2 linked regions of the Diceros bicornis minor genome follow. The protein of the gene in region 1 interacts with the protein of each later gene in a pairwise test. Links are inferred from orthologs where the notes say so. Each region holds a gene or a part of one and is shown in the gene's direction. Other genes may lie near its edges.

Evidence for each region.
Region 2: the proteins of RASSF5 (region 1) and RASSF2 interact in binary tests that used the Homo sapiens proteins (3 or more experiments, as listed by UniProt). The link is inferred for Diceros bicornis minor from reciprocal best matches to the Homo sapiens genes RASSF5 and RASSF2.

What each region holds. Positions count from the first base shown.
Region 1 is NC_080743.1:99,553,510-99,564,090, reverse strand, and holds the start of RASSF5 (ras association domain-containing protein 5), read left to right. Parts: upstream 1-6,393; 5' UTR 6,394-6,398; coding exon 6,399-6,864; intron 6,865-10,581. UniProt on the Homo sapiens protein: Potential tumor suppressor. Seems to be involved in lymphocyte adhesion by linking RAP1A activation upon T-cell receptor or chemokine stimulation to integrin activation.
Region 2 is NC_080758.1:33,031,355-33,041,264, reverse strand, and holds the start of RASSF2 (ras association domain-containing protein 2), read left to right. Parts: upstream 1-5,018; 5' UTR 5,019-5,158; intron 5,159-5,668; exon of another isoform or gene 5,669-5,889; 5' UTR 5,890-5,964; intron 5,965-9,910. UniProt on the Homo sapiens protein: Potential tumor suppressor. Acts as a KRAS-specific effector protein. May promote apoptosis and cell cycle arrest. Stabilizes STK3/MST2 by protecting it from proteasomal degradation.

The sequences.
Region 1 (10,581 bases):
TGCTGCCGGGGTGGGAGCAGGGATAGCCTGCGGGGTCATCCAGCCTGCTCTGTTTGCACTGGTCTGTCACAACCCCAGTCGGTGGCTGCCTGCCACAGCGATGGGCCCAGAGCTGGCTTAGTGCTGGAATGTAAGTGGCTGTGACTTGGAGCCTCCCCTCTGACCCAGGGGAAAAAGCTGCTGACAAATCTGCCTGGAATATCTGAGTTTTTCCAACGCGGAAAGAAGAAACATACACACAAGCACACCAGTCTTATCACAAGCCTGGCAGAGTGGGTCGGGATGGGAAATTCCATGACTGAGACGCAGATGGAGGAGGCCCCACAAAACCGCCAGGAAACAAGTGCTACCCACCCCCACCCTCCACAGCGACACCACCCCAGGAGTCCTCGCATCCCTGCTCACATCCCCAGCCTGGTTTGTCCTTCCTGTCCCCAAGCTCTGTAAGGACGTAGATGCTCCCTGCGGGAGCACTGGAGTTTGGTGACACACAGAAAGCCCAGCCCCCTGCAAGTAGGGATGGTGCCCTTAGCCCTGGGCAGTCACTAGCACCTGAAGGCCGGAAACCTGCCCCAGTGCCCAGCAACTTCAGGGCATGCACGTGCATCTTAAATGCAGTTCCCATACCACCCCCTCTTCTCCTGTTCTCCCTAGACCAGATGATTCCTTCATCTCCCCCTCCTGGTTGCAGGGGCCATGTGTGGAAGTGACATTCAGAGATGAGTCCTGGATTAGGTACAGGTGGGAGCCTAGGGCCAAATTCATTTCATTCGACATTTATCGAGCACCCTCTATTTGCCCTGCGTGGTGGGATCAGAAAGACCAACAAGACCCAAGTGAAGGAGGCAAAAATGTAGAAACTTAATTGTGACTCACGTTAGGATAACGTGAATGCTAGAGACACAAGCAGCTCGTTATGGGAGCCCAGAAAAAATAGCAATGAATTAGGTCTGGGTGACTCTGGGCCGGCTCTATGGAGGACCTGGCATTTCAACTAGACTTGAAAGGTGAACAGGATTTTGACAGGAAGAGAAAAATGGGGAAAGATTTTGCTGATTCTTTAAACTGCACCTACAAAGTGAGATCAGAGGTTTTAAACACTGCCCTTTTTAGCACACCAGCTGGGCAGTACAAAGGCAAAATCATGGATTTGAGTCCAGACGGCAACCCCTTTTTGGGCCTGTCACATGACCTCTCTGAGCCTCAGTGTTCTCATCTGTAAAATAGGAATGCCAGTCATTCCACAGAGTTGCCATGAAGATGAAGTCATTCAAGCCAAGAGTACCTACCCACCACATAGTAGGTACTCGATGCATATTTCTTGAGTAAATATGTATAACATATAGCATTGTACAAGGGACTTTCACAAACACTTGAATTCCCCGACACGTTTTGTCATGGTCCCTGCTTGCTGTCTAGCCATGTGAGGTATTACCCCCATTACACGCTGCAAGCAACACCCTCTTCCTTGGGAGGCCGAGCTCTGTAGGCAACGTGCTACCAGGGAGGGAAGCAAGCAGAGCATGGAGCTGTGATCCTGCAGTTAACAAGGGCAGGAGCGTTTTCCTCTAAGGTCTGTGGCGGGGGTCACATGACCCCAACCACTCACTGCCTTGGTCCCGTTTTCAACGTGGGGTCTGTGTGTCAAGTTAATCAAACTCTCTTATCAAATGCAGGCCAATATCAGACTTATTGAATCAATCTCTGGAGGTGGAGTCTGAGAAAACACATTTGGAACAAACCCATGTTCATGAGGTTGGGAAAGTTTGGGGGCTGTTGAGCCTGCTGTTCCCTCAGCCTGGACCACCCTCGCTCAGATAGACAAGGACTCACTCCGTTCAGGTCTGTGTTTAAATGTCTGCTCCTTGGGGAGGTCTTTCCTGATCACCCAACCTGACATAGTGGCCCCTGTCACTTTCTATCCCCTTAAAGTGCTTTATCTTTCATCACAGTGCTCACGACCTGACACTATATCACAGCTACGTTTGCACGTTTACTATCTGGCTCTCCCACCACAATGTAAGCTTAGGAACATGTCCACTTCACTGTTCTACCTTTGGTGCCTAGAACAGCACCTGATATACGGTGGATATTAAATAATTATTGTTAAATGAATAACTGCTCTGTGCCCTTGAAGATGCAGTGGTCATGAGTGCTGTTTGCCCAACACTTCCAGCTCTTTTCCTATTCCAAGCACATGGAAGGATAGCACTTCTTGTTCTCCTTGTGTTGTTGTTGTTAGTGCCAACGAATCAAGAAGTGGGGGACCAGGTCCTTCTTCCTAGTCTGTCTTAGTCTGGAAGGCATAGCTTTCAGCATCACAGCAACCACCACGGTGTGACAATCGACAGATGAGTGGTGTGGTTCTCTGACTGGGAAACGAACCCAGGCAGCAGCAGTGAGAGCGCTGGATCTTAACCACTAGACCACCAGGGCTGGCTTCCCCTTGTGTAGTGTGCGCTATATAACTAGTTCTGGCCAGTGAGTTGTGAGCAGAAGTGACTGGAACTTTGAAATGCTGATGAAGGGTCCTCCAGGCCCTCTGGGTTTCCCTCTGGCATGGTGACTGGCAACATTAGACGTGGTGGCTCCATCAGCCTGGGTCCCTGGGTGGCATTGATGAACAGTCTCCCTGCCAACTGGCAAAGGGCACATAATGTGAGTGAGAAAGAAGTCTCTGGTTTAAAGGCACTGAGATTTGGGGTTGTTTATGACCACAGAGTACGCTCACCTGCCCTGACAGGTCCAGAGATCCTGTGCAGGCAGCAGTGCTGTCAGAGTCACCGGGAGGGCCCTAAATGCTTCGGGGATTTCAGGCGACTTCAAATGCCTCAAAGCCAAACAAAACCAAAAACTTCCCCTTCAGAAAGTCAGGCCACATTCTGTCCTTCCCTTTTCCTTCCTACTAGGAAGCTCAGTGGGAGTTGTGGGACAGCCTTGAAACAACTTGCCCAATACGAACACACCCTGGGACCACCTCTGCAGTGACTTCACATGCTGACCACACACTCAAAATAAAAACAGCACACCCACTCTTCTGGGAGTGAGTCACAAACAGAAAAAAGTCCACGCTCTGAGCCAAGGGGATCTGCTAACATGGGGGAAAGCTTCTAGTGGAGATGTCTCAGCTCATGCTGGGGTCTCACCCTTGTAGCCCGCAAGACCAAAGACCCATCCTAACAATTCTGAAGTTCAAGCATCGTACACTATCCCAGATACTGTCCCGACTCTACAATGAGACTAGAGTTTATTTAGTACTTCTTCCCTGGGGAAGGAGGAATGACTTGCATATGTGTGTGTGTGTGCGTGCACGCACAAGCACAGGCGTGCATGTATGTGTGTGTATTGTGGGAGGGGATGCTGTTTCAGGGAAGAAGGAGACTAGGCTGGGAAAGATGGCATCAGAGGAGGCAAGTCCCAGGCAGGGAGCCTCCCGTTGGGGTTCAGGGGAGGCAACTACTTCCCCGACCTCAATTTCCTGGCTCAGGGAGATGAACCCTAAGATAAACTTCATACACTTTTTGGATTGGTTACATGAAGTTACGTTATCTCCATTTTCATCTCTGTTCCCATCCCAGACGCCAAATGTAGGGCTCTGACCCTGCCTGGTCTCCTCCCCCATTCAGTGCTGGGAACAGCCACCACCACTCCTCCAGATCGGAGCTGCAGCAGGAAAAAAAGACCAGAGTGTTTTCTGGACAGTTCAGAACCTGGGCAAGGGTTTATGTCTGACTATTCCAGATAGTCCCCACTTTCCCAGGGCCCGAGGAGACACTCTTCCCATGAGCCTCTCCATCCAGGGAATCTGGGCTGGGCAGCCCATAATCATGCTTGGGGGTGGGGAGGTGGAGGGCAAAGATGTGATTGTTGGCAATTATTTCACCAATGGCACTTTAAAACCGGCCTTCCAGTGGTGAACTCTTTGCCAGGTCTCCTCTTCTTCTTGCCACACTAAGCTGTCACCCAGAACTTAAGCTGGGTCCACACCCTGGACCTCACCCAGTCCAATGCCCTCCCAGGAGGGAGTGATCTCCTCCAGACGTGTCTCAAGCCTGTGGAGAGGGGTGGATAGCAGAGGGTGGATACCAGCAAATATTTCCATGCAATGCAGGTTCTGCAACAAGCCCAAGAGAACTGCTTGCAGAAAAAATAGGAGAGAGAGAAATGAGAGACCACAAAGGCAAACTGCACTTTCCTTTGTAAACATTCAGCAGAAAGCATTCAGAAACAGCCCCCTCCACCAAGTTTTCCTCAGTCACGTCCCACTGGACCTCACCTACCCCGTGGAGAAAAGAACAGGGAGGCCCATTCTGTTATCACCACGTTAGATCTAGAGCAGTTGGGGCTTGGACCAGCATCATCAACATCACTTGGGAACTTGTTAAAAATGCAAAATCTCAAACCCCAGCCCCAGACACACCAACTCAGAAACTCAGGTGGTGGAGCCCACTAATCTGGGATTGAAGGAGCCCTCCAGGTGAGTGGTACACAACAAAGTTTGAAAACCACTGATGTAGAGAGAAGTTCAGACCGGAGAGGAAGGGTGGAGGAGGGAGCAGAGGGGTGGCTGGTGGCTCACAGGTCCCCATCCCAACTCCTTCTGCTCTGTCGCACTGCAGGGCTGGCTGCTGTGGGCATTCTTCTCCTCTGCCCAGAAACCACCTCATGAGCTGGGAAGCTCCAGACTCTGGTGAGAGCTGGGGACGCAACATGTCCTCTGCTACAAATGCGGTGGCAGAGGCCTCTAGGAAGATCCCTACCAGGAGGGAGAAGCCATGGACCAGAGCAGGCTGGGAATTCCCCAGCCACCAGACTAGAAATGTTAGGAATTATTGAAAAATTACCTCCAAGGGGGAAAATAAAAAGCAAAAGTGAAGATTGCCCTTGCAGACAGTAGGGGGAGACCCATCTTAGGCCGGGAAGAGGAGGGAGAGCCTCAGATCTGGAAGAATTGAGACATTTCCAAAGTTGGTTGCTGAGACCTCTGCTAGATCAACCAAACCAAACCCCAAGCGTTAAGAGGACGGCAGTGATCACTGAGTCAGAGTGGTGGGACTGGAGGAGACTGCGAGAGCATGTCCCTGTCTCCTCACTCCTGGATCAATGTATAGTTGAGAACTGCAGAGGCTAGAGAGGGCCCAGAGTCATCCAGCTGGTCTGCGTCAGGACACGGAGGTACAAAGACCCGGGAGCCCGGGAGGCGCCTGCTTCCCATCATGAGACGGGGCTGTCTCCATGGGCAAATGTGCTGGTCAGGGCCGGCTACATAACGTGCGGGACCAAGTGCAAAAACAAATGCCGTGCCCTTTGTTCCAAAATTATTGAGACTTTCAAGACGGTGACAGCAGGGCACTAAACTGCGGGGAGGGGTTCATGAAGTCTGCCCTGGTGCTGGTAGAAAACGGATCTCTCTTTGGATCTCACAGGTGAACTGTTCACACCAGATGCAATGTACGGCTTTGGGGGGACCGGTGTTTCCACAGGAATCACCAGAGCAGCTGTGGTGAGAGGAGGGTTTGACTTAGTTGGAAAATCTTTCCCAATCCATGGGGCGCTGGAGCGTTCTCACAATCCAGGATCCACGATCACCATAACCCCAGTCTTCCGAGAAGGGAATATCCTACCGGGCAGGGCTGCTGAGAGGGGAAATCCAGCAAGAATGAAAGTCGCACACGGACAGCCTCGCCCGCGGCGGAGGCGGCTTCTCGCGGCGGCACGAGAAGCGCCCCCGCGCTCGGGTCCCTCCTGGTCACGGGACTCGGCGCCGCGGCGGGAGCGCGAGCGGAAGCGGGGCGTTCGCGACCCACGGCGGGGTCGGCTCGCCGGCGGCTGCGGGCGGCGAGGGGGCGGGAGGAGGAGCAAAGGAGCGTGTCCCTCCCGTCCGCGTGAACCCCGGAGGGTGGCGGGCGGACATCCAGCCCGTGGGCCTCTCCTCACATCCCATCCTCAGCCGGCTCCTGAGCCCTTGCCTCTGCCCTGCTCCCTCCCCTGGGCGTGTTGGGGTGCGGGTGGCGGGGGGATCTGCGGTGGGGGAAGTGATGGGAGAGGGAAAGAGGCAGGGCTGAGGGTAGACGTCCCCTCCAGAAATGCCTCTTTTGAGTTGTACTATAGAGCCTTCCCATACGAAATCCTTCAGCTGCCCCAGTTGTCCAGGCGCTTCTGAAGACGCCCCTAAATCCACACTCGCTCAGTACCCCCCCGCCCCCTCCCCCGCCAACCCTGCGCTCGGTGGGGTGGTTCCCTCGGGTCGTCCTTCCTGCCTCTCCGAAGTCTCCCCGCCCCCGCCCCGCCCCGCAGGCTGCGGCCCCTTTAAAGGCGCGCTGGGCGGGCGGCACTGCTCTCGAGGCTGACTCGGGAGGAGCGCCACCGCCGGGAGCTGCCGCCGCCGCCAGCCGGGCATGGCCATGGCGTCCCCGGCCATCGGGCAGCGCCCGTACCGGCTACTCTTGGACCCAGAACCGCCGCGCTATCTGCAGAGCCTGAGCGGCCCCGAGCCGCCGCCGCCGCCGCCGCGGCCCCCCGGCCGGTCCTCGCGCCGCTGCGCCCCCGCGCCCCTCTCCGCTGCGCCCGGGGCGCACGAGGGGCGCGGCGCCCGGAGGGCTGCCCGGGGCGACCTGGAGTCCCAACTCCGGGCCTCCCGACCCGCTCGCCCTCTGCGGCCTGGTCTGCAGCAGAGACTGCGGCGGCGGCCGGGAGCGCCCCGGCCCCGCGACGTGCGGAGCATCTTCGAGCAGCCGCAGGATCCCCGCGTCCCGGCGGAGCGAGGCGAGGGGCACTGCTTCGCTGAATTGGCGCTGCGGAGCGGCCGGGGCTGGTGTGACCTGTGCGGACGAGAGGTGCTGCGGCAGGCGCTGCGCTGCGCTAGTGAGTGTGCGGGCCAGGCAGGGGAGCGGAGGGGCGCGCGGGAGGACCGCAGTCCGCGGGCGAGGAACTGCGAGGGGCTGGGGCAGGACAGCGGGCGCATCGCCCTCTCTGGCTCCAGGGGAACTTGGACTTGAACGAAGGGAGGTAAGCCCTGGGGACACTCTGCTCCTTAGTCCCCTGCCCAGTATCCTCTAGTGACTGCCTACTCCCCGGGTATGGTCATGCGGTATTTAACAAACACCTCTTCCCCTGACAGGTGCACGCCTCGCCCTTCCCCAGACACACACGTACACACACACACACACACACACACACGCACACACACGTGTGCGCGCACAGATTGGGGTTGATGGCAGCAGGGCAAGGTCATTCCATTGTCCCCTGCGCACCCTCCTGCTTTTGTTGTAGGTTCTTGAGAGTGGGTTGTGAGACTGGTATTGAGATGGCCTTTTGACCCGTGGCAAAAAATGGCTTCTTTGTCTGTCTATGGTGCAGCCCCACAGTACACGGACACTTATGGTATACCCTTTCTCCAGGGCGACCTGTTGGGATAGGGAGGAGACCTGGTTGGGCTTTAGATGGAAACGGCTATGAGGCTGAAGAGAGCCTGAGGTCACCCTGGACCTGTGCCCCTCCTGCCTTCTGCCTCTGGCCCCTCAAACCTTTGGACTCTGCTCTAACGTTTGGCTGTGTCCTGAGCTGGCCTCCTCTTCCTCCTCCTCGGTTACTGCACCAGTCAGTCATCATGCTCTGAAATTACCTAACTCCTGCCGGGTCCCTTCTCCCCCAGAGCTCTCAGGCCCCTCTAGCCGCCTCCTGAGCCAGGCTCTTCTCAAAGACTGACTAGAAAACACTGGGCACCCAGTGTGTAAATTTTCTGAGCAAATGTGCGGTCTTCTTGGAGGTGCATTATTTTTCTCTTCCTACAGTTAGGTGTGAGTGTTCTTTAATGGGTGCCCCACCTACCCGCCCTATCTGCTCCTGCCATGTTTGGCAGAGGGTATCCATCCCCATGTGTTTATGTGTTTATATAGGTATTTTAAATATCTGAAGCACAAAGCACAGACAATGGCACAACCTCTAACAAGGGTCTCTGGAAATGGGTTGTGGTTTGCATCTTTTGGCAAAAGCCCTTCCCCTGTGAGCACAGCCTCACACTCCCATCGGACTGCAGCACCGGACAGCAGCAGCTACTTCCACCTCAGGAAAACCCTGCCTTGCCTCTCTCTGCAGTCCACAGCCGAGGCAGCGTGCCTCTACTGCAGCTGGCCGCAGGGGAGGAGAGCTCAGACTCTAAGCCAGGATCAAGTGGAAAGGGAAGGTTGGAGGGGAAAGTGGGTGCTGCTTCCTCCAACCCTGGAACTCACAGTTCAGGTGCTAATTAAAAAGGAAAGAGCAAAAGTTATAGAGATATATGTGTTATGGGTGGTGCTCTGCTGTTACTTGATAAATGCCCCTGACCTTACAGTAGAATCTAATGCAACGTGCCCATGGACATGTTGGCAACTTTTGCCCTCTCAAGGGTCTTGGGGTACTTTCCTGCATCCACCAACCCTATATTCATAGAGACAGGCAGGATCCTCACTGTAATGGGTTTTATTGTGCTGGAATCCCAGGAAATCCGCTTCGTTGGAATTCTAGTCTATTCGGATGTTTGGGGGCTGTATCAATTGTTGAACATTTTGCACAGAGTTTTATGATTTGTTTTTTTGTTGCGATAATGGTGTATTTGTGTGTGTTTGTATGTGCATATGTGTGATACTCCATGATTAAATGAAGTTATGCTCACTTCACATTAGAATTTATTTCCTTTGGTTAGTTTATAGTTTCTGGTGGCAGGAAGACCCAGGTACATGGGCAGTTTGTCTGACTTTGTGTGAGACTTGGTGAAGTCTCTTCGTTTTCCTGGGCTCCTGTGGCCCTCACGCAGTTGGCTTAATACCAACCAGGGATGTCTGAACACCAGAGAGGAGCAAAGCTGGAATCAACGGGCTATGGAGAGGAGTCTCTGTCATTATTAATGTTTAACTAATTGTGGACCTGTGGCTGGCTGGGGGCAGTTGAGAAATGTTCTGATGTGCAGATGAGGGCTGGCGGGTGGGGACACAGCAGGCCAAGCTCACGGAGCATCTTTCTTTAAGTCGAACAACTAATTCTGTGATGGGGTTGGTTTGTTTTATCTTTTGAAAAGCAAGCGTCAGAAATATGACTTTTAAAAGGCAGTACTGTGCAGTGATTAAGAGAACGGACTGAAACCAGAAGACCTGGGTTTGAATCCTGATTCTGCCACTTAGTCTCTGTGTGACCCTGGGCATCTCTGTGTTCCACTTCTTTGTTTTAAAAAATGGGGATAATAACATTACCTACTGCATCACGTTAATGCGAGAATTAAATCAATTAGCGTATGTAGAGTGCTCAGAACAGTGCCTGGCAAAATGCAATATGAATGCTTAATGTAATGTGAGTGTTATTATTGTCCTTGCCCATCCAACAGGTGTAACAATTTGTCTGGGCTCATGACACTTCCGAGGATCACCTTTCCATGCAGTGATACAGTTTTCAGACTCTGCCTGGTTGCTGAGCCAAGTGGGGAAGTGAGTGCCATGAGCATCCCAGGAAGGTATTAATTGTCCTCTAGAAATGCCATTCCTGCCTGCTGGCTGAGGAGTGTCCTCACAGAATGGCAGTGGCTTAGAGGTCACCAAGACATTGATGCCTTGTCTTTGTGTCAGTTGCCCCCAGCAAAGTGTGAGGCACAGAGCACAGTCTCAATAAGTGGTGGTTGATGAAGGTGGTGGCTTGTTTATTCTATTAAATCTCCCTGCTCTTGGGAACAAGCAGAAGGGCAGTGGGCATGTGAGTGACATCTGCCTGAGCCAGGAGGCTGACACTGGGTGGGAGCCGTGTTGGCAAAGTGGGCTTTTAGTAAGGGAAGCGTTCAGAAAACTGTCTTCCCACTGTCTGCCTGCCTTTTTCGTGAAACTGTCTCTAACTTAAGCTTACCCTACTTCAAGTTCAGTAACTGAGCTCTCACTAATGCTGGGTTTGCCAACAGGAAAGTTCAGAGTTAATATTAATTTTCAGGACTAAAGAAATGATGTTTGTTAGATAGAGAAGTAAATCCAGGGGGATTGGTGGAAGAGAGAGAGGGAGGGAGATGATGGCGTGAATGCAGGTGTGTGTGTTGGGATGGATGTGCTGGAGGGGTGAGGGTCTATTTCCAGCATTCCAGAAGGGAATTGTCAACAGCAAACAACCCTAGAAACTCACCGGGCCGCCCTTTGGCTTTGTTTTCAGGGAATGTCCCTTAGAGGTCATGACCCTTTCTTCTGTAGAAGGCACAGAGAATTGACCTTTTACCTTTCATCTTGTTTTGGTGGATTTGTAAACCATCCTGGGCCAGGGAATGATCTGGAAAATGGGGAAACCTAAGTCCAAGTCAGCATTCAAGGCAGGACGCTTGGACAGACCTTGCACGTTGCTGGTGAGGGCTGCGCGTCTGCTCCTGAGCCTGTCTCTCTTGGGAGGGGCATTGTTCAGAGCTATGAAGTGTTCACTGATGGGAATTATAGGGTTGAAAGGGTGCCCTGGGGCTCCTCATCCTAACCTTCCCTTCCTGCGATGGACTTTAATTATGGTGTGAGTGGAGGCGTTTGCCATGGAACCTTCATGGATGGGGATGGGGACTTTCTTGGTGAGTGAGGCTGGTGTCTCACT
Region 2 (9,910 bases), on another chromosome or scaffold:
CATCTTCCCGGGATCACCCCCCCATGTGTCCCGGGGGCCAGGCTGGGGGCAGAGTTGAGTGACAATCTCACCTCTCTTCTGTCAACTAAAGCTTTGATACTGGACCAAATTTGGTTTCTTCTCTCCTTAGAATGAACATTATCTCCCAGGAGGGCCTTTTTTCACCTCTCGAACAAATACATTTCCAGCCAGCCCACCATGCTAGCGTGCCAGACAAGTTCAGATGTACTCAGGTCACTGAGGCTTCCTTATTTCTCTATAACTCATTAGATCTTCCTTTGTACATTCTCACCTCGTGGATAGCAGAGAAAAAAAAAAGGAGTCTGATACAATAATTTGCATTCCTGCTGGTCTTCTTAGATGAAAACTCTCTCAGAGTTCTTCCTTCCTTCCCAGCTATCTCCAAGATGGATCTTTGGAGGTGGTTCTGCCTTACCTTTTCTGGTGGTGGCATGTGAGGATGGTGTCTCCGGGTCCCCCCGGGCTCCCCTGCAGAGGGCCTACTCTGGACCATCCCTGGAAAGCAAAATGCTGAGGGGTGATGGCCCCATTCCTGGGTGTTTGCCTGGCATCTGCTGCTGAGGCCTGCAGCTTGTGTACCTCATGGTCTGTGTGCTCCACGCTCCTTCAGAGCTCTGTAGTGCTCCCTGACGCCCCCGGCCTTGACTCGGCCCTCACCAACGCTCCCTCTGAGTCTCTATCATGTCCTCCCACCAGCCCCTGAGCTAACCTTCGGGGTCAACCTGCCCCTCTCCATGCTGGCTCTTAGAGCAGATGACTTGCGTGTTCTGGCTCGCACCGCCTCAGCCCACTTCTTCCCCCAGCATAGCTGTGGTGGGCAGCTCCATGCACAATGACTCATGCCACCTGAAGTGCCAATGGCAGTGGCTCCTGCTTGTCTGCCTCAGAGGTTCCCTTGAGGCCAAAGATGTCCACACAGCCAGGAAGTAAGAAGAGGTGAGCTCTTTGGAAGTAATTCTTAAACAGTGGGAAATGAGAGTTAGCAGATAACTGCCCCAGTGCCCCCAGCTTCAGAGAGGACAATTCTGAGGCGCATTTTACACAGTTCCTCAGAGGGTCCCCAGAGGAATGGGGTGCTGGTGCCACACCCTTTATTGGCTTTTCTCCCTCCCTGTCTCACTCTCCTGCTTTCTGGGACCAGCTCCTAAGTAAACTCCCAAGTCCTTGTCTCAGGTTCTGCTTTTGAGGGGACTCAAACTAAGGCCCTATGGAAGGTCTAAGGCTCACAATTCCACTTCCTTCGGAGGCCCCTGGTCCTTGGGAGCAGGTGGGAACTTCTGCATCATGTCTATGCCACGCAGGAATTGTGGGTGACCCCAGAAAGCTAAACCCAGGCCCCGTCTGTGTAACTTGGTGGTCCACTAAGTTGACTTTAATGAGGCTGCCCCCTCCCCTAGGTCTGTGCCTGGGAACAAGGAGGAAGGACGTGGACAGCCAGTGTGGCCATTTCCTCTACTCTATCTCCAGACTCCCCTTAACCCATCAACATACCTCCTCACTCTGGCAGAAGTTCAAATAGGGCAGATGAGGCATTTCCCACTGTCTGTGTCCCTTGCTTCTTCCTCCCTCCTCCCAGAATCCACTGGGAACAAAGAGTGGGCTTTGGGCCTCCCACTTCTCCTCTGCATATCCTGCTTCTCCCCAGTAGAACTCTGATCTAGTGGCAAAGCCTGCCCCTTGAGACGTTATAGGGCGACATAAAGGAATTTGGAGAATCATTTTCTCTCTGGCCATGCTTGACATTCCTGCCACTGTTTTGCTAAAGAGAAATGGGAAGTCAGCTTTGAGACTCAGAGCTCATCAGTGACGTCCTTGCTCCAGAAAATTGTGGTGTCCCAATATGGTAGCCACTAGCCACATGTGGCTATTGAGTACTTGAAACGTGACTAGTGGAATTGAATTTTAAGTTTATATAATCTTAATTAATTAAAACATAAATTTAAAAACTGCTACTCAATTCAGTTAGTGGGAAACTTTTAGGCATGTTGAGAACAACTCGGGTGTGTCAATTTACTTTTTCAAGAAGAAATTTCATAAAATCTAAATACAGATCAAATATTTTTGATGAAAATTTAACGTCCAAATTGAGATGTGCTGAAGTGTAAATACACACAGCCTTAGCAGAAAAATAGAATGTAAAATACTCCGTCAATAACTTCTTTATATTGTTTACATATTGAAATGGTAATATTTTGATTTAAATAAACTATATCATTAAAATTAATTTCAGTTGTTTCTTTTTACTATTTTTTTTTTTTTTTTTTTTTTTTTTTTTTTTTTTTTTTTTTTTTTTTTTTTGTGAGGAGATCAGCCCTGAGCTAACATCCGCCAATTCTCCTCTTTTTTTGCTGAGGAAGACGGCCCTGGGCTAACATCTGTGCCTATCTTCCTCCACTTTATATGGGACGCCGCCACAGCATGGCTTACCAAGCAGTGCGTCGGTGCGCGCCCGGGATACGAACCAGCGAACCCCGGGCCGCCGTAGCGGAGTGCGCGCACTTAACCGCTTGCGCCACTGGGCCAGCCCCTCTTTTTACTATTTTTTTAACTTTTTTTTTTTTTTTTTTGCTGGGAAAGATTTGCTCTGAGCTAACATCTGTTGCCAATCTTCCTCTCTGGTTTTTTTTTCTCCCCAAAGCCCCAGGACACAGTTCTATATTTTAGTTGTAAGTCCTTCTAGTTCTATGTGAGCTGCTGCCAAAGCATGGCTACTGACAGATGAGTGGTGTGGTTCTGCGCCCGGGAACTGAGCCCAGGCCGCCAAAGAGAAGCGTGCCGAACTTTAACTGGTAGGCCATCAGAGCTGGCTCTTTTTTTTTACTATTTTTAATGTAGCTAGAAAGTTTTAAATTGCACCTGTGGCTTGCACTGTAGATAGTTCTAGGCAATGCTTATCTCCTGCTTCCCTGCGGCCATGTGCCTCTGGGTTCAGTCCCTGGGGGTGGAAGGCTGCAAGAAAATATGGTTTAAGGGTGGGCTTTAATGTATTCGGTTTAATATTTGCAAATATTATCCCTGATACAGAATTATTGTCCCTACACTGCCTTGAAGGAAAAAGTCCTATTCTTTTTCCTCCTGTGCTTTCTGTATGGACAAATTGATGAAAAGAAAGATGTTTTCTGGTGTTTTGAACTAATCAATCAATTTATTCACTAAGATGGAGAATGTTAAGTGAAGAGGAACAGATTTTGTTTTAAATAGGTCAGGGTTCCTGGTAGCCTAATTTGGACAATGTAAGCCTGCCTCTAGCCCCAGTTGATTGGTCATAGGATGGTCACTTGACCCAAGCTGGGCCAATGAGCAGCTCTCCTGGGAGACTGGAGTAGAGACTAAGGGATTTTAGCTCTACCTGGCTGCTTTCTTCAACAGGGAAGCTCCAAGCCCCAGTGATGGAAGCCATGGCCACCCTTTGTCATGTGTCTGGGATGCAGGGAAGCCCAGTCTATGATGAGAGAGAAGAGCGGGCCCCTCCTGGGTTCCTGGAAGCCCTCCAGGCTCTGGATTTGCCTCTAACTGAGCTCTCCCTGCAGTTCTGACCCTGAGGTTATAGAGAAACCCCCTTGTCCTCATAACACACTCCCCGGAGGGTGTTCCATTACCTGCAAAGGAAAGAAGCTTGACTAATACAGAGTAGTGGCTGGGGGGAGAGGTGAGGGAGGTAGGGGTTCCGGTGCGTGTGTGAGGGGGAATTAACGGGAGAGCTTTGTGTTTATAGCTCAAGGGGAAAGAACCAGAAGATAATTTTTTTTTCTATAGAAAAAGCTGATCAGTGGTCTCCTTGTTCTGGGGCAGCTGACACAGTTTTCAGCACCACCCTGCAGCTGCATTTTGGGTTCAAAAGACTTTTGTGGCTGCCCTGGGAAGCAGATCACCATTTGTAACATTGTTTCTAAGGGAGACACATTCCAACATCCAAACAATGAATTTATAAAGAATGTTTGGCTTCCAGGAGGGATGAGCTGATCCGGCTGTACCCCGGGGGTTGGCTACCCATTAACGGTTAGGCCCCTTTCCTCTTGGCGTGGAGACTGACTCTGCAGAGCTGGAGTATGAATGCGAGGGGAGAATTCTGATAAGAAGGAGGGAACAGATAAGGAGCTCCGCAGCTGGGGTGCTCTAGGGTTTCCTGTGCACTGAGAGCCCCTGGAGGTCCAGGGATGGATAAGAGGGGGAGGTGAGAGGTGGACAAAGAAACTTGGCCTCCTTCACATTGCTGTCACGTCTGCCAGCCCGCGAAGTCGAAGGGGCCTCGCTTAGCCCCCTGCTCAGCTCAAACTGTTTTTGGAATAAGCCCGAGTGTTAGAAAAAAAATCCTACATCCTCTGCCTGGGGAATCCGGGGTGCCCAAAGTGGGCTCCTCGGGGCAGCGTGACTGTTCCCTTGGAGTGGCTGTCACAGCACGGGGCGAGCCGAGGGGCTTGGGCCAAGACTCCATCCCTCTTGGAAAGGGCAGCGGCGAATGGGGTGAGGGGAGCCAGCTCATCCTCCCCACCCCCGCACTCCTACCCCCTCCCCGCCCCCCCAGCCCGGAAGAAGCGCTGGCAGCCGGAGCCCCGACTCGGAGGCAGGGAAGGAGGGGACGCGCAGCCAAAGCATTGTCTGGGAGGGAGGGGAGAAGCTCCGCCCCCCGGGGGGAGGGGAGAAGGGGAGGGAGGGCGGGAGAGGAGGGGAGGAAGAAAGGCGAGTGGAAGAGGGGTGGGGAGAGATGGAGAGCTAGAGAAAGAGGGGGAGGGAGGACGGTCAGATCGCATAGGGCAGATAAAGGCAGGGGGGCGGGCGAGAGGGCGAGGAGGGGCGGAGAGGGAGCGAGGAGGGCGGGGCGCCCGACCCCCAATCGCGCGGCCGCCGCCTCCCAGCTGGGCTGGATTTGAGCCCGGCCCGCCGATCGCTGACCCAGGCGCCGGCTGGAGCAGCCCCCGGCCGCGGCACCCCCACTTTGCAACTCCACGGTCCCCGCGGCGCGAGCGAGATGCAGCCGGCTCTGGACGCAGGCAAGGCGCTGGGCGCGGGGTGCTGGGCGCGGGGTACCGGGCGCGCGATGCGGGGCGCAAGGTGCCGGGTACCGGGCGGTCCTCTCTCGCCTGCCTCGCTCCTGCCTCGCCGAAAGTTTTCTCGCAGTGTCTCTTCTCCCGTCCAGGTCAGCCCCTCGGTCCTCGCCTGCCCCTGGTCTCCTGCCTCTCCCCCAGCCTCACGGGGTTCCCGGGCGTGCGGACTCCCCAGGGGCCGCGTGGGTGCGGAACCCCAGCCCGCCCGCCTTCCGCCGGAGAAAGTTGTGGCTCCAAGCTCGTCCTCCCCCTCCGCCCCCAAGGGCGGCGGCAGGAAGGCGCCCCCACCCCATACCCGGGGTCCCTGGGACTTCTTGGCGGTGCGGCCGGGCAGCAGGTGCAGGGATGGCAAATCCCGAGGGCCCTGGGGAGTGGCCAAACCCAATCCGGTCTACTTCTTACCCGCCTAAAGGACGCCTCCCTGGAGGGGAGGGGCTCCAGCTCCCTCTGCCTTCAGAAGGGCGCAGGGTGCGTGGGGGCCCTCGGTCCTCGGGGCACTTCCCCTTTGCAGTCTCCCGGCCCGCCTCCGGAGCTGCTGCCTGAGGTCGTTCGGGACCTCGGCTTTGCATCCTCTCTCGCCGGAGAGAGGCAGGTGCCTTGGGCGGACCCCGGCCACTTCTGCATTTCCAGTGGCTGCTTTGCACTCAGCTCCTAAGCTAGGAGAGCCCTGGGGACAGCAGAGAGGCACGATGGCCTGACAGGGAGAGGAGGGTTCCATGTTACCCTGGGGCGCTCTGTGGGTCTGGTGTCACAGCACCTCGGTGCCTCAGTGACAGGAGCCGAGTGTGAGGCTTCTCAACGCTGCGATGCGCTTTATTCCCAGGTGTCGGGAATCCAGGTCCCTAAATCATGTTCTTCCAGAGGACAGAGGCCGTGTCTAGAGCTGGCGAGGTTTATAGTAAGTACCTTACATGAAATGAATGAATGTTTGAACCAATGAGCTGACAAATAACAATTTATTCTGGAGCGGAACTGGGTTCCTGCCACAGTTGATCTTGGTACAATGGGAGGAAAGAATTAGAAACAATGATTCTTTTAAACAGCTGCAAGACAGAGCCAGCGGCCTTCTTTCCAAAGCATCTGGATGAGGAATCTGGGGTTGGATTTATTTTACTTATCAATTCGTATTTGCTTGGAACTTTTTCTGCAGGTGGTCTGAAAAATTAAAGAAGCTTCTCATGGCTAAGGTATCTTGGGTTGTTTGAGGAGAGTTCCTTTTTTTTTAAACTTGTGTCCTAATGCAGTGTCCCAGGGACTAAGTGTGGAGTTGGCTTGGGAGGTGCCCATTTGGGATCAGAAACCCTGGGTGTGGGCACCAGCTGTGTTTTCTCCTCTAGACAGGCCAGCCTGATGCCTGGAAGCTTTGGCTGTCTAGTGGGCCTCAGTGGATAGAAGAGGGCCCCAAAAGATGGCTGAACTCAGAAAGGTGGGGTAGTTTTGGAAACAGAGTAGTTCTTATTCTGGGAGAAGATGGAGGCATAGCATGCAGCCTGCCCAGACACCTGGGAATCTGGGCTGGTACGGGTTGGGATTCCCTGTGCTGGGGGGCTGGGAGGTGAGTCTTGCTCCTCCCTCAGAGGATGAGAGAGCAGAGGTGGAGTATTGGGGAGACAGGATATTCTTTGGGGTGCAGCCTAGACATGTCCCATGCTCCTCTGTCCTCATTTTGGTGCTGGTGAAATCTGGTTAGAATGATGAGGGACACCTTTGGGGAACCTGGCTGATAGGAGGCCAGGGAATCTGAGGTCCCCAGTTATGCCCTCCTCAAGGGGAAGGTGGGGGCTGTGCCCTCTACACCTGGCTGAGTAGGCCAGAGTGTGTGCAGGACCTGTGCCTGCTGTACCTGCAGCCAGCAGCATCCCCACTTTCCTGAGGGTGCTCCCCTTCTGCCCCTGGGGCTCCAGAGTCCACCTCTCTGCATCTCCGCAAGGCTTCTGTTTGGGGGTTCAAGCCCTCTCTCCAGTTTATGTTCTCTTAAGAATCGGTCCAGTGTAGTGGACCATCCTACATGTTGTTTTCAATCCCTCAGTTCACGTCCTTACTCTCGGATGCGCTGGCCTACCTAGGACCTCTCAGTCACCCGCTGGTTTTGCTTTGATTTCTTCGTCTATTTCCTGGTGCCCTGGAGCCAAACTTTATGTCTGCCTTGTATGTGTGAGCTGCTTAGAAATGGCCGAGAGGGTTGGCTGGAGAAGTGCCCAGGACCACACGTCCTGGCCCTCTGCTGGAGTGCCAAGGCTGGACTGCAGGGCTCACCAGAAAAGGGTCCTGTCACCAAAGCATAAAAGAACCTTGGCCTGATAATTGCATTCAGTTCTCTAGGATACTTTGGCAGGGAGTGTCCTCACTGACTGGGAGGTGGGAGTGCAGAGGCAGCCCAGATTGCCAGAGAATCCTGCGGAAAGGCTGGGAGAGGGACTGGGTGATCCAAGAGCAGTCCTGGGACTTGCCCGCGTCTGCTTGTCCTCTCCCCCAGAATGAGCAACTGGGCAGATCTCAGCAGTGTGCTTGGAATGGAACAAAACGTCCGGTCCCAGTTGTCAAGCCATGGTTGCTGAGAGCTGCTACAGCTGGTTTATAAAACTAGAGTACCCCTCCCGCCACTCTTCACAATATGGTCCAGTTGTTTACCCCAATAACACACTGTCCTATTTAAACACCTCCCTGCCTCTCCAGAAGAATTTTAAATAAGTCCTTAAGGCGAGGTGAGTTCCCCCAGGCCCGTGACTGCTGGTTTCATTTATTTGGCCTGATTGTGGGTTCCCCTGGAGGATATGGCTGTGGGAAGGTGGAGGGAAGGGGATGGGGCAGGAGGCACAGGGCATGCAGGGCACAGCCTCCAGACTTGGCTGATTGGGCAGCCGGGTGGTCATTTTTGACCATCCTTGGATGGCAGACTCTAGAGCCTGTAATCACAGGTTGATGCGGCTGCTTGGGATGACAGCTTGAGGCTGCAGAAGGCCTGCCCAAGGCAGCTGTGGCCGACCAGAGAGGGAAGCCGCTCATAGAAGAAGGGCTTAAGGCAGGGCACTTGGCTAATTCCCGTGGGATGAGCAGAGTGACTTAGAAGGGCTTTTTCTATTCCTTCTGTTGAAACAAATTGGCAAAAGGATACCTTGTGCTTTCCTTGGACATGTCAACCCAAAGTGATTTGACAAAGTGGGTTTACTTCACCAGCATGGCACTTTACCCATATTTGGCACTCAGTAGGTGTTTGATTAACTGCTCATTTCTATAAGAGTAATGAAGAGAGTATTGGAGTTTGAATGGAAGTCTACCATTTTCTAGCTGTGTGATATCCGGCAATAAAATAGATGCTGTGAGCATCCTTCCCATGTTTCCTTGGCCTCAACCAATGGCTGATGGAAGAAGGTGTGTAAATACTGCAGCTCCCTCACTTCTCTGTTGGGGTAACTTTGAGGCATGTTCTATGCTGTCTCTCAGGGCCGCCTAGCAGGACTGAATCCCAATTGCTCACAGTGGTAACTTGCTCCCTTCATTGGCTGCCTTCCTTTCCCTGTTTCACTTTCCCGTTCTCCTTCTATGTGCACTTGAACTCTTGTCTTAGGGTCAACTTCTGGAAACTAACCTAAGACAGGCCTTAGTCTATAGTTACAAAGTCACTTAAAGTCTCTGGGACTCAGTTTTCCCAACTGGAAGATGGAAATAATAACTGTCTCACAGTGATACTGTGATTTGTGCTCAGATGGGGGCCTGGCACACAGGAAGCATTCAGGCAAACATTTGCTGGCTCGTTGATTAATATGGAAGGGGCTATGATAGGTTTGGGAGTGAGTATTATGATGGACCGTGGAGAAGTATAATGCTTTGGAGAGAGAGGAGGTCCTTGGGTTAGGTGAAGAAACTAAGCTCACCTGCTCATGGTTTTCACATTTAGATTGTGACCAGTGATGTGCTGATAAATATTTGACAGCTGGCTCTTCAGGGGGGCAAACAAAGCGCTGCTTTGTGGTATTTGCTGATTTCTGTAGTGTAAATATTCCCACCGTGGCTGACTGCAAGCTACTAACATGGCATCACTGAACACTGAGCTGGGAAGAGATGCGCACCCTCAGCCCTTGAGAGCCAGTAGGAGCAGCTCCAGCACACACACTCTGGCCATGACTGAGCTGGGATGTGACCTCAGCGATCCTCATTTCCAATTTTGTACACGGCGTGAAGAGGATAAGAATTGTACTAGGTGTCCAAAATTTGGGGTATATTCAAACTCTGCCGTTGAACAATTGGCTGAATCACTGTGTGCAGACACTTTGGGGGTTCGTTTAAAGATTATTGAAATGTTTACGCATGAGTCCTTTTGTACCTCAGTTTCCCCATCTCCAAGGCAAGGGATTAGATGATTCCCCAGGTCCCTTCTAGCCATTGGTCTCTTTGGGAAGAGTCCCTTGCATTCTCCTGTCCACACAAGAACAAAACCTTTACCACAAGAAAACCTTTCACGTGTCCACACTTACGTTGCCTGCCACGGGGCACCCAGCACTGGGCCATCCTAGAGTTGCTGTGGCCTTTCCTGCTGGCACAAGGGAATTCGGTAGACATTGACCCAGTAAAATTCTGCCCTCTTTGTGTACCAGTTACACTTCATGACACAGACATGTGGGGGGAGGATGGGGCGGGAGGAGCTGGTTGCTTGTGGGAAGGACATTCTCTGTTTTCCTGAACCACTATGCAATGTCGTAGACACCCAAGTGGAATCCAAGCAAAGTCCGTGTGGAGAAAGGGACTTTTCTATGACAGAATTCAACATCCCTGGTGGGGTTTTACTCCTGATGCTCTGTTGACAGTCCTCCCGAGGGAGTCTGACTCAGCAGTTCCGCCTGTAG